Linked DNA regions of Canis lupus familiaris. The protein of the gene in region 1 interacts with the protein of each later gene in a pairwise test. Links are inferred from orthologs where the notes say so. Each region holds a gene or a part of one and is shown in the gene's direction. Other genes may lie near its edges.

Region 1 (6,276 bases):
TTAGGGCAGTTTGGGACACCCAGTGTTGGGGGAGCTAGGGGAGCTCTGTGGGAAGGCCAGGTGGGGTTGGGGTGCAGCACAGCACTGGGGCTGAGGCCGATCACAGGGTCCTGAATCAGGCTGAGGGGCGGTTGGCCTGTGAAGTTTGCTATTCCCCTCCAGGGTCCTGGTTTGTAAAATAAGAGGGTGGGATGGCTGTGCTGTCGGGACCCTGTGGTCAGCAGCCCCTTCTCCTCAGGCCTGTGGTGTGGACTACGAGGTCAAAGCCTTCTGTGCCGAGAACCTGGAGGAAAAGATCCACAAGCGGTGAGAAGGGCACAGCTTCCGCTGGGTGTGGGCTGCCTACTGGCAGAGGGAGAGAGACAAGACCAGCAAAGTCAGAGAAGAGATAAGTAACAATACCTGGAAGTGTGTGAGGAGGGGCCGCATATTCCAGCCCCAGAAACTCCAAGAAGGGCCCTCTGGAAGGCTGGCAAGTCCTGGAGGGGTTCCTGGAGAAAGTGGCTCAACTGTCTGGGGCTTAGGGCTCAGGCCTCAGGCCTCAGGATTTCTCCCTTTACAATGCTGAACCTGCCTCCTCCATCACCCTGCTTCAAGTCTTGCCCCATGAGACTGCATGTTTTTATTTTATTTTGGAAAGAAACACAAAATTTGGATCATTTTAAAGAGTGAGCAAGAGTTTTTTCCAGCCACCCTGAACCCCTACTTCCTACTTCTCCTGGGAAGCCATCAGCAGCAGGTGGTAGTGGGGGCGGCAGTGGGGTGTGGGATGGGTCAGCCCACGTGTCAGAAGAGGTAGTGTTCTCTAGAGAGGCACAGCCCTGGGCAGACAGTCCAGACTGGCAGCTGGAAACAGCTGGACCTGACTTCTGAGATAGACTGCCCAGCCCTGCTCTCGTGCCTGTTCCTCCTCAAGGCAGGCCCTGCCCTGTCTTCTGGCGAGGAGGCGAGGCTGGCCTCAGCCCCCCACTCTGATGCACCCTGCCTCCCCAGGCAGCCGCCCGCATTCCTACCGAGCCTGGCTGAGGGTGGCTGAGGGAGGGCACTGCGGCTTCTTAGGGAGTGGGCTGAGTTTGCCACCTGGCGGCTGAAGAGCGTATTGAGCATCTCCATCTCCAGCCCAGGCAACTCCAAGGTGTGGGGAGATGGGACCCTTCTCCCTGGCTTCTCTGTCTTCCTTTTCTTCTTCAGACCTGAGACCAGGGGAAAGATAGGGGTTCGTGGGTTTTTGAAGGGGGCCTGACCGGAGCAAGGAAGAGGAACGACACTGAGGGCCACTGCCTTCACCCTATGCCAGTGTGACATTTTAAGTCCACATCAGAGATACTACTGATAATGATATAGCAGCTATCGTTTATGAAGGGCCTATTAAGGACCAGACACTATTCAGGGTGGTGAACATGTAGGAACTAATTTAATCCTCTCAGCAACCCTGGGAGGTAGGTGTTGCTACTGTTGCCATTTTACAGATGAGGAAACTGAGATCCAGGGGTGAATTTTCTCAAGGGCATATAGTTAGTAAGGGGCAAGCTCAGACCTTCAGCCTGGCTGTCCAGTTCTAGGGGGTGCAGGTGAGAAATGGGGATGCTGGCACACCCAGCACATCGCAGGCACTGCCTCACCAGATCCCATCCCCTCCCAATCCTTGTATCCTCGTTTCTTCCCTAAGCCCCTGTCCCTTTCACTGAGTCCCATCTCATCTCTGGGCCTCCATCTATTCACTGGGTCCCCATCCTTGTCACTGGCCTACATCCCCCTGATTGAATCCACACCCCCTCACTGAACCCCGTCACCTCTCTGAGCCCCCACCTTTTCATGGGGTCCCTCTGCAGATTTTGATTTAATAGATATTTGGAAGGCATTTGTTATATGGCAGGCACTGTCATAGATGTTGAAAACACAGCAGTGAACAATTGAGATAAAAATTTTGCTCCTTAAGGAGCTTACACTATTAAGTAAAGTAAGGGATGTGGGAAGTGAAACATAGTTCCTTTCTCGCCATCCTGCTGGCTGCCAAGGCACAGATCCACATGAGGGACTGCCATGGGGTGGTTCAGCTCCGCTGGTGTGGGAGTTAAGACCGGGACAAGATCAAGTGAGCTGATCCAGGAAGGTTTCCTGGAAGAGGAGGTATTTAGCTGGGTCCTGAAGAAGGAAATAAATGAGGGTAGAAGCAGGAGGAGAGTATTGCAGGCGGGGGTCCGGTGTAAGCAAAGCTGCAGAGACAGGACGAGATGAACCACTGAGGATGATAGTGAGGAAGTGGGGGTGGCTGTGTACACAATGGGGGAGGATGGAGTGGGGCCAGGTGGTGACAAGGCCTCTGTGTCCACCTCTGCAGTTTGGTCTGGATTGTAACGCCGGGGGAGCCATGGCAGTCTCCTGAGGAGGAAAGGGAGGGTTATGAGGAAGGAGGATGGAGGCAGGTGACTCTGGCTATCTTTTGCTCTGCCCATCTCCATTAGGAATTCTGTGCGCCTGGTGATCAGGAAGGTTCAGTATGCCCCGGAGAGGCCTGGCCCCCAGCCCACAGCTGAGACCACCAGGCAGTTCCTCATGTCGGACAAGCCCTTGCATCTAGAAGCTTCCCTGGATAAGGAGGTAGGAGGCTTGGACTTGGCAGGGGGTGGGGGCTGTTCTCCTGGGGCTGGGACATCTCATCCCAGTTCTCTCATGGTCACCAGGGCTCCTGGGGTAGGTAAGAGCTTCTGCCCCCAGTCCTAAGACCACAGGGTTCAGGGAATCTGAGACATCCCTTAGGGGGCTGTGGGGAAGCCTCTGGGGGCCTAAAGGAATGGCAGAGTGGGGCATGAGCCTGAGGGATACAATCGACTTTAGAAGTCAGCGTGCCTCCTCTCTGCCTCTCTCTCTCTCTCTCTCTCTCTCTCTCTCTGTGACTATCATAAATAAATAAAATTAAAAAAAAAAAAAGAAGTCAGCGTGCCTCCTGAAGGGACCTGAGTCTCGGCCGTCTTCCTGCACCCCGTCCCCCTCTTAATGTGTGGGCACTGCCTCTCTCTCTCTCTCTCTCTCTCTCTGTGGATAGCTGAGGGCAAGTGTTGGCCACAGATTTGAGTTGAGGTCCTTCAGTAAGGATTCAGAGCCAGTTCCCTTGGTGAGCAGGCCCGTCTTTCCCCACCTCTCTCTCCTGCTTCTTCTAGGCCCTCCTGTGTCTAGAATTCCTGGCATCCCAAGCCAGCAGGGACTTGATACATCACCTAGTCCAAGTCCTCCAGATGGGGGGAAGCCGAGGCTTAGCCAACCTGTCCAAGGTCACACCGTGTTCATCCTCTTTATCATTATTATAATTAGTGTTCTCATTATTTCTGGTCACCAAGTCCAGACTAGAGCCCAGGAATATCACCTCCTCATTCAATTATCTTTCAAAATCCTGACAAAGAACTGGTCTAACATGCCCAGTGACTTAGCATCAGTGGGAAGTGGCTGATGAACTTGAGGCCAACGTCAGAGTGGCCAAAGTCTGGGGAACCCTAGGATATATGATGGGGCCTCTTCTCCCTCCATCTTTCTGGAGCTTTAGTATCCTCTGGTCCAACCCTTCTCTCTTCTTCTGCCTCCCAGATCTATTACCATGGAGAACCCATCAGCGTTAATGTCCACGTCACCAACAACACCAACAAGACAGTGAAGAAGATCAAGATCTCGGGTACCCCGGGTGGAAGGCCACCCCATGGGGCCAGCAAGAGGGAACTCTCCCAAGGGTTGGGGGTGGCTGAAGGTTCTCCCCTTGTTAACAGCCTTGTAGATAACTATTGGCCCGCAGGAAAGCCCAGGGCCTACTCTAGGCCAAAGGGAAAGGCTTTTGAGGCTAGTAACACAGGCTACTCATTGGCCAGGTAATGAGTTTACTGTTTAAGTCACCTACCCTCTAAGTTCCCTGGGTTCTGGGCAAAGCTGTCCCTGAGGGAGACCTTTGGTGATGGAAGGGAACAGGTGTGTTCGGGCTACCCTTTGTGTGGAAGATGAGGGTGGTCTCTTGAACAATCTCCCAGTGCACTCTGGCCATTCTTGGGGCTGAACATCCCCAACTCAAGGGAGCCTGGGATGCCCGGGAGCTGCAGTCCTGGCTCACACCACCTTGTCTCCCTCTCCCTCTCAGTGCGCCAGTATGCGGACATCTGCCTTTTTAACACAGCCCAGTACAAGTGCCCTGTGGCCATGGAAGAGGCTGAGTAAGTGAGCACAAGCCCATCCTTGGATGTGTGGGTGGGGAAATGAGAAGCCCTGGCTGTAGTTACAGATGCAGATGGTTCTTTTCCACCTGACAGAAGGCTGGATCTCAGACTTCCTTGTCGCTCAGAGTAGATCATCCCAAATAGCCTTTTAAGAAAACACCTGCTTGGTTTAGCTACAAGAAAATACATGCCACAGTCAAGGGACAGACCCATTAAAACTAGAATGACCAAATGAGACCTAATGAATCAAAGGGAACTGGGGTTGTAATTACACTGTACCAGAAACCTAGGTTGAAGGACATACTTTGCTCTGAGCTTCCTAACAGCCAAGACAAAGAGGGCAAGGTACTAGGTACACAGTATTTCTTGTCTGATAAGAGAATAATCCAACTTACTAGGTAAAAGGGGTTGTATGTGGGAGGGTAGAGAATAATTACATTTTAAAAATCTAGGCTTGAGGACAGCTACTCTGGTTGAGCATGGAATTTTGTCTCAAGTTTGTTAGCGGCTAAGGCAAGAGATCTCAGATGAAACATCTTTTCTTACCTAAAGGAAGTAGTTACTCTCATTGGAAGACACATCTGTGTGGTTTTTGGTTTTTTTTCCTGGCCCTGCCTCCTCTGGGGAGGCAAGTGCATTTCATATAATTTTTCACGTATGTGTGTGTTTCTTTACATATAATGGCAATGTATTTTTTTTTAATGGCAATGTATTTTGGAAAGTTAAAAACATGTTTTAAATGTTACTATATGGTCTTTGATATGTTCTGACTGGGCTGGGGGTGATGGCTGGGGGTTGGCCCTGGGGGCTGTGTCCACACCTGCCTCCCTTCTTCCCAGTGACACAGTGGCGCCCAGTTCAACATTCTGCAAGGTCTACACCCTGACGCCCTTCCTGGCCAACAACCGAGAGAAGCGGGGCCTCGCCCTGGACGGGAAGCTCAAGCATGAAGACACGAACCTGGCCTCCAGCACCTTGTGAGGACCTGCTTGCCCCACCCCCTGACTCCAGGGGGCCCACACCCACCTTTCCTTTTTCCCACTAGTGCCAGCACATGGTATGGTTACCCTCTCCCCAGGCGTTGTCCCTGATCCATCTTAGGAGCTTGAATTGTCCTCTTACTCCCACCCCTATCTAGGGGTGACACAGAGAGCAAGACGGGCCCCTAGACCCTGCTTCCTTTGTAAGTACTGGGCTCTGCTGGCTTGCCCAGGGGAGGGCAACCTGGAGAGGCTTCTTGCAGAAGGCAGCAGCTCCTGACCTCGTGTCTTCAATCAGACGGGGTGCGTCCCTGAGACAGAGCAAGGCTGGAAGGAAAGGAGTGACTCCAGCACAAGAGGATGAATCAGGAGTCGGAGTGGGGCGTCTGGGGAGATGTGGACAGTGAGCAGGGCTAGACCAGATGTCAGTGTGCCCCTCAAAGGCAGGGATCCCTGGGCCGTATGATCACTCCTGCCTCACGGTCATCACTGACTCTGAGGCTACCCTGCTCTGGTGGAGGCCTGGCATGTGGGGAACTCGCCTTACCCTGGCCATTGAGGCCTGGCCCTCCAGTGGGGCTTTGGCCTGCCTCTGCAACACCCTACCCCTGACTTCCAACATGGATCCTCTGCTCCAGACGCACAGTTGTCCACATGGACATGCTGACCACTTGCCTCCAAGCCTTTGCCCTCTTCTTCCACCCTGGCTCAAATCCTGTCTTCAAGACTTGGTGGAGGGGCTACCTCCTGCATGTCTTCCCCAATACCTCCTCCTCTGCCTTGCCAACCTCCCTCTCCCTCCCTGAACCCGCTGTCTGGCCCTTTGTGCCACACAGATTGCTGGGCAGCAAAAGAAGCAGAGTCCAGGGATCCCTAGGTGGCGCAGCGGTTTGGCGCCTGCCTTTGGCCCAGGGCGCGATCCTGGAGACCCAGGATCGAATCCCACATCAGGCTCCCAGTGCATGGAGCCTGCTTCTCCCTCTGCCTGTGTCTCTGCCTCTCTCTCTCTCTCTCTCTCTCTCTCTCTCTCTGTGACTATCATAAATAAATAAAAAAAAAAAAAAAAAAGAAGCAGAGTCCATCCAACCAGGGGTAGAAAG
Region 2 (7,054 bases), on another chromosome or scaffold:
CTTGGGCTTCACTGGGGGGCATATTGCTGAATCCACCTTAGTCCAGGGTCTTGTCCTAGGAAGAGACTTCTGGGGACGCATAGGTGGCTCAGCAGTTGAGCCTTTGCTTTTGGCTCAGGTGTGACCCCAGAGCCCCGGGATCGACTCCTGGGATCAAGTCCCACCTCAGGCTCCCTGCATGGAGCCCGCTTCTCCCTCTGCCTGTGTCTCTGCCTCCCTCTCTGTGTGTCTCTCGTGAATAAATAAACAAAATCTTAAAAAAAAAAAAAAAAAAAGGAAGAGACCTCTGCTTTGGGGAGGAAGGGTAGATGTACACTAACCAAACCAAAGGGCCAATTTATGAAGTAGAAGTGTGCAACACAGCAGCAAGGGCATCAAGCATTTCAACCCCTAACCATGGACTTGGTATCTTGCGGGTATCTCTGTAGAAAGCAGAGAATGTTTACAAATTAAAACTTTTAGGGGCGCCTGGATGACTCAGTCAGTTAAGCGGCTAACTCTTGGTTTTGGCTGAGGTTGTGATCTCAAGGTCGTAATATCAAGGTCGTGAGATCTAGCTGAGCCCTGAGGCGGGGTAGGGCTCTTCCTCAGTGAGGAGACCTCTTGTCCTTCTCCTTGCCCCTCTGCCTCTCCCCCTGCTTGCCCTCTCTCATGCTCGCTCTAAAATAATTGAATAAAATCTTTTTTAATTTATTCATGAGAGACACAGAAAGGTGAGAAAGAGAGGCAGAGGGAGAAGCAGGCTCCATGCAAGGAGCCAGATGTGAGACTTGATCCTGGATCCTAGGATCACGTCCTGAGCCAAAGGCAGATGCTCAACCACTGAGCCATCCAGGCGTCCCTAAATAAAATACTTAAAAAAAAAAAAAGAAAGAAACCAAAAGTTTTAGGTGTGCCTAGGTGGCTCAGTTGGAAAGTGCCTGACTCTTGATTTCGGCTGGGGTCATGATCTCAGGGTTGTGTTTTTTGTTTGTTTGTTTGTTTGTTTGTTTGTTTTAAGATTTTATTTAGGGCAGCCTGGGTGGCTCAGTGGTCTAGCGCTGCCTTCGGCCCAGGGTGTGATCCTGGAGACCTGGGATTGAGTCCCATGTCAGGCTCCCTCTGCCTGTGTCTCTGCCTCTCTCTCTCTCTCTCTCTCTCTCTGTGTGTGTGTGTGTGTCTCTCCTGAATGAATAAGAGACACACACAGAGAGGCAGAGACATAGGCAGAGGGAGAAGCAGGCTCCTCACAGGGAGCCGATGCGAAACTTGACCCTCTGACCTGGAATCACACTCTGAACCAAAGGCAGACCTCAACCGCTGAGCCACCCAAGTGTCCTGATCTCAGGAGTTTTGATATTGGGCTGCTATCAGGCTCTGTGCTGGGCATGGAGCACCCTTGATATTCTCTCTCCCTCTGCCCATCCCCCCTCTAATTTTTTTTTTTTTTTAATCAACTTTTAGGGGCATCTGGCTGGCTCAATAAAGCATGGAATCCTTGATCTCAGGATTGTGAGTTCCATTCCCATGTTTGGTGCAGAGATTACTTAAAATAAAATCTTAAAAAAAAAAATTAAGGGGCAACTGGGTGGCTCAGTCGGTTAAGCAGCTGCCTTCAGCTCAGGCCATGCTCTCGTGGTCCTGGGATCAAGCCCCCAGTGGGTCTCCCCTGCTAAGCAAGGAGCTTGCTTCTCCCTCTCCCTCTCCCTCTGCTCATGCTCTCTTGCTCATTTCATATAGATAAAATCTTTAAAAAAATTTTTTTTAAAGATTTTATTTATTCAGGAGAGGGAGAGAGGCAGAGACACATGCAGAGAGAGAAGCAGGCTCCATGTTTTATCCTGGGTCTCCAGGATCACGCCCTGGGCCAAAGGCGAGCTCTCAACCACTGAGCCACCCAGGCGTCCCAATAAAATCTTATTTAAAAAATAAGATTGATTGATTTTTGGTGGAGATGCTGGATTTCAAACAGGGGCCTCAAACAGCAAAAAGTGCTTAGAAGCATTGCTAGTCGGTAAAGAACTGGGAGGAAAGGTCGGACGTCGCCTTAGAGACTCAGGGAAAAGCTCAGTGCGTCACCTCCAGGCCGGAGGAGCACCTGCCTCCAGGTGGGCAGACGATCCCCTGGACTAGAACTGCTCCTGGACTTGGGTGGCCCCTCCAGCATTCTTATCCCCAGATACGCCCTCTTCCTCCCTTCCAGGCCCTCCTCCAGCCGGACAAGCCTCCTTTAGATATGCTAATACCGTCCGAGCGCTGAGCTCGGCGTGGACTGGGAAGTTTTCTTTCCTTCCTTTGCAGTTTAGGTGGCGGCGGTGGGGTGGGCGGCCTCACCGCTCCCCTCCCCCACGCACACACCGCGGCTGGCCCCTCCGGGTCCTGCGGGGCCCTGGCTCAGTGGGTGGGGCAGGGAGGGCCCTTTGCCGCCGGGTGGTCGCCCAGAGGGCTGGTCTTCCCGCGGGCGAGAAGGGCCTATTCAGACCTCCCGGCCGCGCCCCCGCCCCGAGGCCGCAGCCCGGCAGGGGCGTGTCCCCGCGCTCACCTGCCATTGGGCAGGTGGGGCGGCCGGCCTCGGGCGGGCCGCGCTATAAACGCGGGCGGGCGGCGGCGGAGCCAGGCGCGCCGCAGGATGGTGGACAGCGTGTACCGCACCCGCTCCCTGGGGGTGGCGGCCGAAGGGCTCCCGGACCAGTACGCGGACGGGGAGGCGGCGCGCGTGTGGCAGCTCTACATCGGGGACACCCGCAGCCGCACGGCCGAGTACAAGGCCTGGCTGCTCGGGCTGCTGCGCCAGCACGGCTGCCAACGGGTGCTCGACGTGGCCTGCGGCACCGGGTGAGCGCGGGCCGGGGCCCTGGGGGTGGGGGTGCCGGCCGGGAGGAGGGGCTGGGACAGCCAGCGTGGAGGTGGGGACTCGGGATGCCGACGGCCGGATCCTCCCGGCGGCGCGGCGGCGGCGGCGGCGGCGGCGGCGGCGGCGGCGGCGGCTTGGCTTTGGGACCAGACCGATGTAAGCTCTCCTGGGTGCTGGCTCTGGCACAGCTCCCGAGTCGTGGCCTTGGGCAGTGTTAACAGTTAACAATTCGTTCGATACTTGGCCGTGCCATGCGCTGTGCCAGGAGCTTTGGATACATCCATTTTTAAGGTCTTCAGAAAACCTCAAGATGTATGCAGTGATGTCCCACTTAGAGTTGCTGAAATCCTGCCCCAGAGGGGTGAAGGCCCCTCTACCTAGTGGAGAAGAGATGCTGTACTACTTCCGCGTGCCCAGGTTCCTGAATTCCAGGGACCTCAGTTTGCCTCATCTCTCAAGCGAGGGAAACCCCATGTACCTCACAGGGTTGCCGTGAGGATTAATGCACAATGACGGAGTGCCTGGCTCTGAAGGGATGCTAACAAAACCCCAAAGTTGCTACCTGGTGATAGGGAACCCATTTGCCAGGTCATTTGAGATCAGTGGAGAGGGCCTGGGGAGAGGAAGAAGAGGAATGGAGCCAAGAGTGGAGGAGACAGAAGGGTCCAGCACAGGACCTCCTCCTTGCCTTTCCCAGGCCCCTTGACTGCCCCTCCCTGCCTCTCTCCCCTCTGGCCCTGCCCAGGGTGGACTCCATCATGCTGGTGGAAGAGGGCTTCAGCGTGACCAGTGTGGATGCCAGTGACAAGATGCTGAAGTATGCACTTAAAGAGCGCTGGAACCGGCGGCACGAGCCAGCCTTCGACAAGTGGGGTACGCACGTCCAGGCAGGCCTTCCCCGCCCGGCACCCCAGGGCCCAGTGCTCTTAATTCCTGTGCAAATTCGGGTGTTTGTTTTCCCTAAGGGGACAGCAAAATTACTTTCATTTCCCCAGAAAGGGAGGCTTAGGCACTAGAATGAGGTATCTGGTAATGAGGGGCTAGTTTTGATTATAAGTGTCTTCTCCCAAATAAAACCCAGTAAGCACAGAGCCATTCTTCCCATCACAGCTTCCTCCCCGCCCCCTTGACCCCTCCTCCCCTTCACCTTCCATATCCATAATAATCCCCTCCTCCTAACTGGATGGGGAATCCCCATGTGTCTTGAAGAGGAAACTGAGGCAGGGCTGCACTCGATGGAGAGGGGTACTGCTGGTGCCTCCATGCCACCTCGAGCTCTCCTTCCCCTTCCTGGTCCCAGTCATTGAAGAAGCCAACTGGATGACTCTGGACAAAGATGTGCCCCAGCCACCAGGGGGTGCCTTCGATGCTGTCATCTGCCTTGGAAACAGCTTTGCCCACTTGCCAGACTGCAAAGGTGAGACAGAGTGTACCCTGGAGCCTGGCCCTTTGAGCTATACCTCTTTTCACAGACCCCTGGGTGCCTGCTATCCTGGCCAGAGCAGACTGTTTTCTGCTCCTCCCTGACTTGGCGTCTGTATCCCTGGGGAGGAAAAAGCTGGGAGGGAGACTGGTGCTTGGGGCCCTGAGCGGACGCAGCCTCTTTGCCCTTGCCTGGAGCTCAGGAGATCAGAGTGAGCACCGGCTGGCACTGAAGAACATCGCGAGCATGGTGCGGTCAGGGGGCCTGCTGGTCATTGACCATCGCAACTATGACCACATCCTCAGCACAGGCTGTGCACCCCCAGGAAAGAACATCTACTATAAGGTGAGGGCCCTGGGGGTGGGATGAGAAGCCCAGAATGGGGGATGTGATCCTGGGGTCCAGCCCTGCAGTGGTTGCCAAGGCTAATACAGCCTGCACCACTACCTACAGAGCGACTTGACCAAGGACATCACCACATCAGTGCTGACAGTGAACAACAAGGCCCACATGGTGACCCTGGACTATACAGTGCAGGTGCCAGGGGCTGGTCAGGATGGTTCTCCTGGCTTGAGGTACCCACTGGGCTTGGCAGCGGGTGAAGGGGGGTGGTGCCGAGGCCACCAGTCCTCATGGTTGCTTGGGGGCTCTGTTGCAGTAAGTTCCGGCTGTCCTACTACCCGCACCGTTTGGCTTCCTTCACGGAGTTGCTACGAGCAGCCTTTGGGGGCAAGTGCCAGCACAGCGTCCTGGGTGACTTCAAGCCTTACAAGCCGGGCCAGGCCTCCATTCCTTGCTATTTTATCCATGTGCTCAAGAGGACGGACTGAGCGCTGAACCTGGCCTCAGCTCCTACAACCCTCCAGCCAACATGGCCAGCCAGATCTCTCTGGGGAGGTGGGGACTAGCAGTCCCATACCCGGCCCAGCCCCAGCCCTGCAGATCCTGGGGTGCTGGGAGGGGCAAGACTGCTGTTGTGGGTGCAGGATTTGGGTTTGGGCAAATGGAAGTAGTAGCAATATAGTCTGTGCCTTTTTCAGTTCTGCATGTTTTGTGTTTATATGGGAAGGATCAAGCTCCCGCCACCGTCCCCTCCCTGGCCCTCCCCTGGGGCTTTGTCCTTCCACAAACTAGCTCTTTTCACACTCCAATCTTTCAGATCACAACCAGCAGGGGGCAGCATCCACTTTATTTTCAGCCAAGACTGAGGCTCCCTCTGGCCAAGCTCCTCCTCCCAGCAGAGGGTCTTTAGTCTTGGGGCTGGAGCTGGCCTGGAAGGACAGCTAGGCAGGGGATGATGCCCTCTGAGTCCCCATGGGGCTGCTTGGCATGTAGGGGATCTCCTGGAGATAGGCAGCCTTTGGGTGCAGCCACAGCTTGCTGAGGAGCCCTTTGCTCTCTCAGGTCTCTGTGGGGACACCTAAGTACCTTCAGCCCTTGCGGGCAGGGTCCCAGATGGTAGGAGGCTCCTAGCAGGCGGCAAACTTGCGCTGGATGCGCTTGTAGCGGAGCAGTTCCTGCTCACTGACTGAGGGCTGCAGCCGGGCAGCGGCCTGCAGTAGGTCGTCCATGGTGAGTAGCAGTGTTGAGCTCCCGGGCTCCAGCCCTGGTGGGGGGAAGGGTGACAAGGGAGCAACAAAGGCTGTGGCCTGTGTCCGAGGAGGGGAGAGCCCTGGAGTGGGCATCATCTTCTTGCCCAGAGGCCCCCAAATTGGCCTATGGGGCTGGCAGGTAGCTCACCTTCCTCCAGGTCCCGAACCCTGCGTTTGAGGGCAGTTGTCATGGCATCGGAGCAGAGAGAATAGAGGTCTGCGCCTGTCAGCTGGGGAGGACAGCGATCCAGCACATTCACCAAGCTCACAGAGGGCTCTAGCTTGAACCTGTTATGCAGATAGAGGTTTTACCTGGCATCCTCTTTTTTTTAGATTTATTTATTCATGAGAGACACAGAGAGAGGCAGAGACACAGGCAGAGGGAGAAGCTGGCTCCCTGCAGGGAGCCCAATGCGGACTCGATCCCAAGACCCCAGGATCATGCCCTGAGCCAAAGGCAGATGCTCAACTGCTGAGCCACCCAGGCGTCCCTTACCTGGCATCCTCTGTCAGAAGGCATCCCTGACCGGCTTATTCTGCACATTGCATTTATCCCCTAAACATCCCAAGGCCCAAGCCCTGTGAGAGTCTCCCCCTAGCAGGGCGTACTTGCGTGTAATGGCGCTCAGGACACGTAGCTGGGAGGCGCGGTCCTCACTCACCCCCACAAATACCAGCTTGTCAAATCTTTAGGGAAATAGGTGTAAATGTCAGGGAGCCCAGCATGAAGATGGAGGAGGCAAAGGTGGGGGTCAAGGGACAGGCCTAGATGGTCCTGGTAGAGATGAGAATAGGGTACACACCTGCCAGGCCGCAGAAGGGCAGGGTCCAGGAGGTCGGGTCTGTTGGTGGCTCCAATCACAAACACATCTTGAGTGCTGTGAAGCCCATCCAGCTCAGCCAGGAGCTGAGACACCACCCTGCAAATGAGGACATGTAGGCCAGAGTCCTTGGCCCTTCCTCAGCCTCTGCCCTGCTTGTGGCACCCTTCCTTGCAAGCTTTCTCCACAGGGCCACATGCTTGGTTGTGTCCTCTATAGTCCTCCACGCAGGCCCCCCGTTCTCCTCAGAGTCCCTGACTCAAGTCCACAGCCCCCATTCTCTTCTGTTATACTATTTCAGAACTGGAATGGCAGCAACTCTGGGCTCTGAGGACTGCTGCAACCTGTGTCAAATCCCTCCATGCTGGACCCAACTCCAGTCTGG

What was found.
Region 2: the proteins of ARRB1 (region 1) and GNMT interact in binary tests that used the Homo sapiens proteins (3 or more experiments, as listed by UniProt). The link is inferred for Canis lupus familiaris from reciprocal best matches to the Homo sapiens genes ARRB1 and GNMT.

What each region holds. Positions count from the first base shown.
Region 1 is NC_049242.1:23,398,741-23,405,016, forward strand, and holds part of ARRB1 (beta-arrestin-1), read left to right. Parts: intron 1-238; coding exon 239-306; intron 307-2,465; coding exon 2,466-2,601; intron 2,602-3,582; coding exon 3,583-3,667; intron 3,668-4,120; coding exon 4,121-4,193; intron 4,194-5,035; coding exon 5,036-5,173; intron 5,174-6,276. UniProt on the Homo sapiens protein: Functions in regulating agonist-mediated G-protein coupled receptor (GPCR) signaling by mediating both receptor desensitization and resensitization processes.
Region 2 is NC_049233.1:11,685,727-11,692,780, forward strand, and holds GNMT (glycine N-methyltransferase), read left to right. Parts: upstream 1-2,572; 5' UTR 2,573-2,608; coding exon 2,609-2,814; intron 2,815-3,578; coding exon 3,579-3,706; intron 3,707-4,133; coding exon 4,134-4,250; intron 4,251-4,458; coding exon 4,459-4,601; intron 4,602-4,709; coding exon 4,710-4,831; intron 4,832-4,914; coding exon 4,915-5,086; 3' UTR 5,087-5,299; downstream 5,300-7,054. Other genes in the region: PEX6 (peroxisome biogenesis factor 6), read right to left, coding at 5,726-5,862, 5,997-6,136, 6,458-6,535, 6,652-6,768. UniProt on the Homo sapiens protein: Catalyzes the methylation of glycine by using S-adenosylmethionine (AdoMet) to form N-methylglycine (sarcosine) with the concomitant production of S-adenosylhomocysteine (AdoHcy), a reaction regulated by the binding of 5-methyltetrahydrofolate.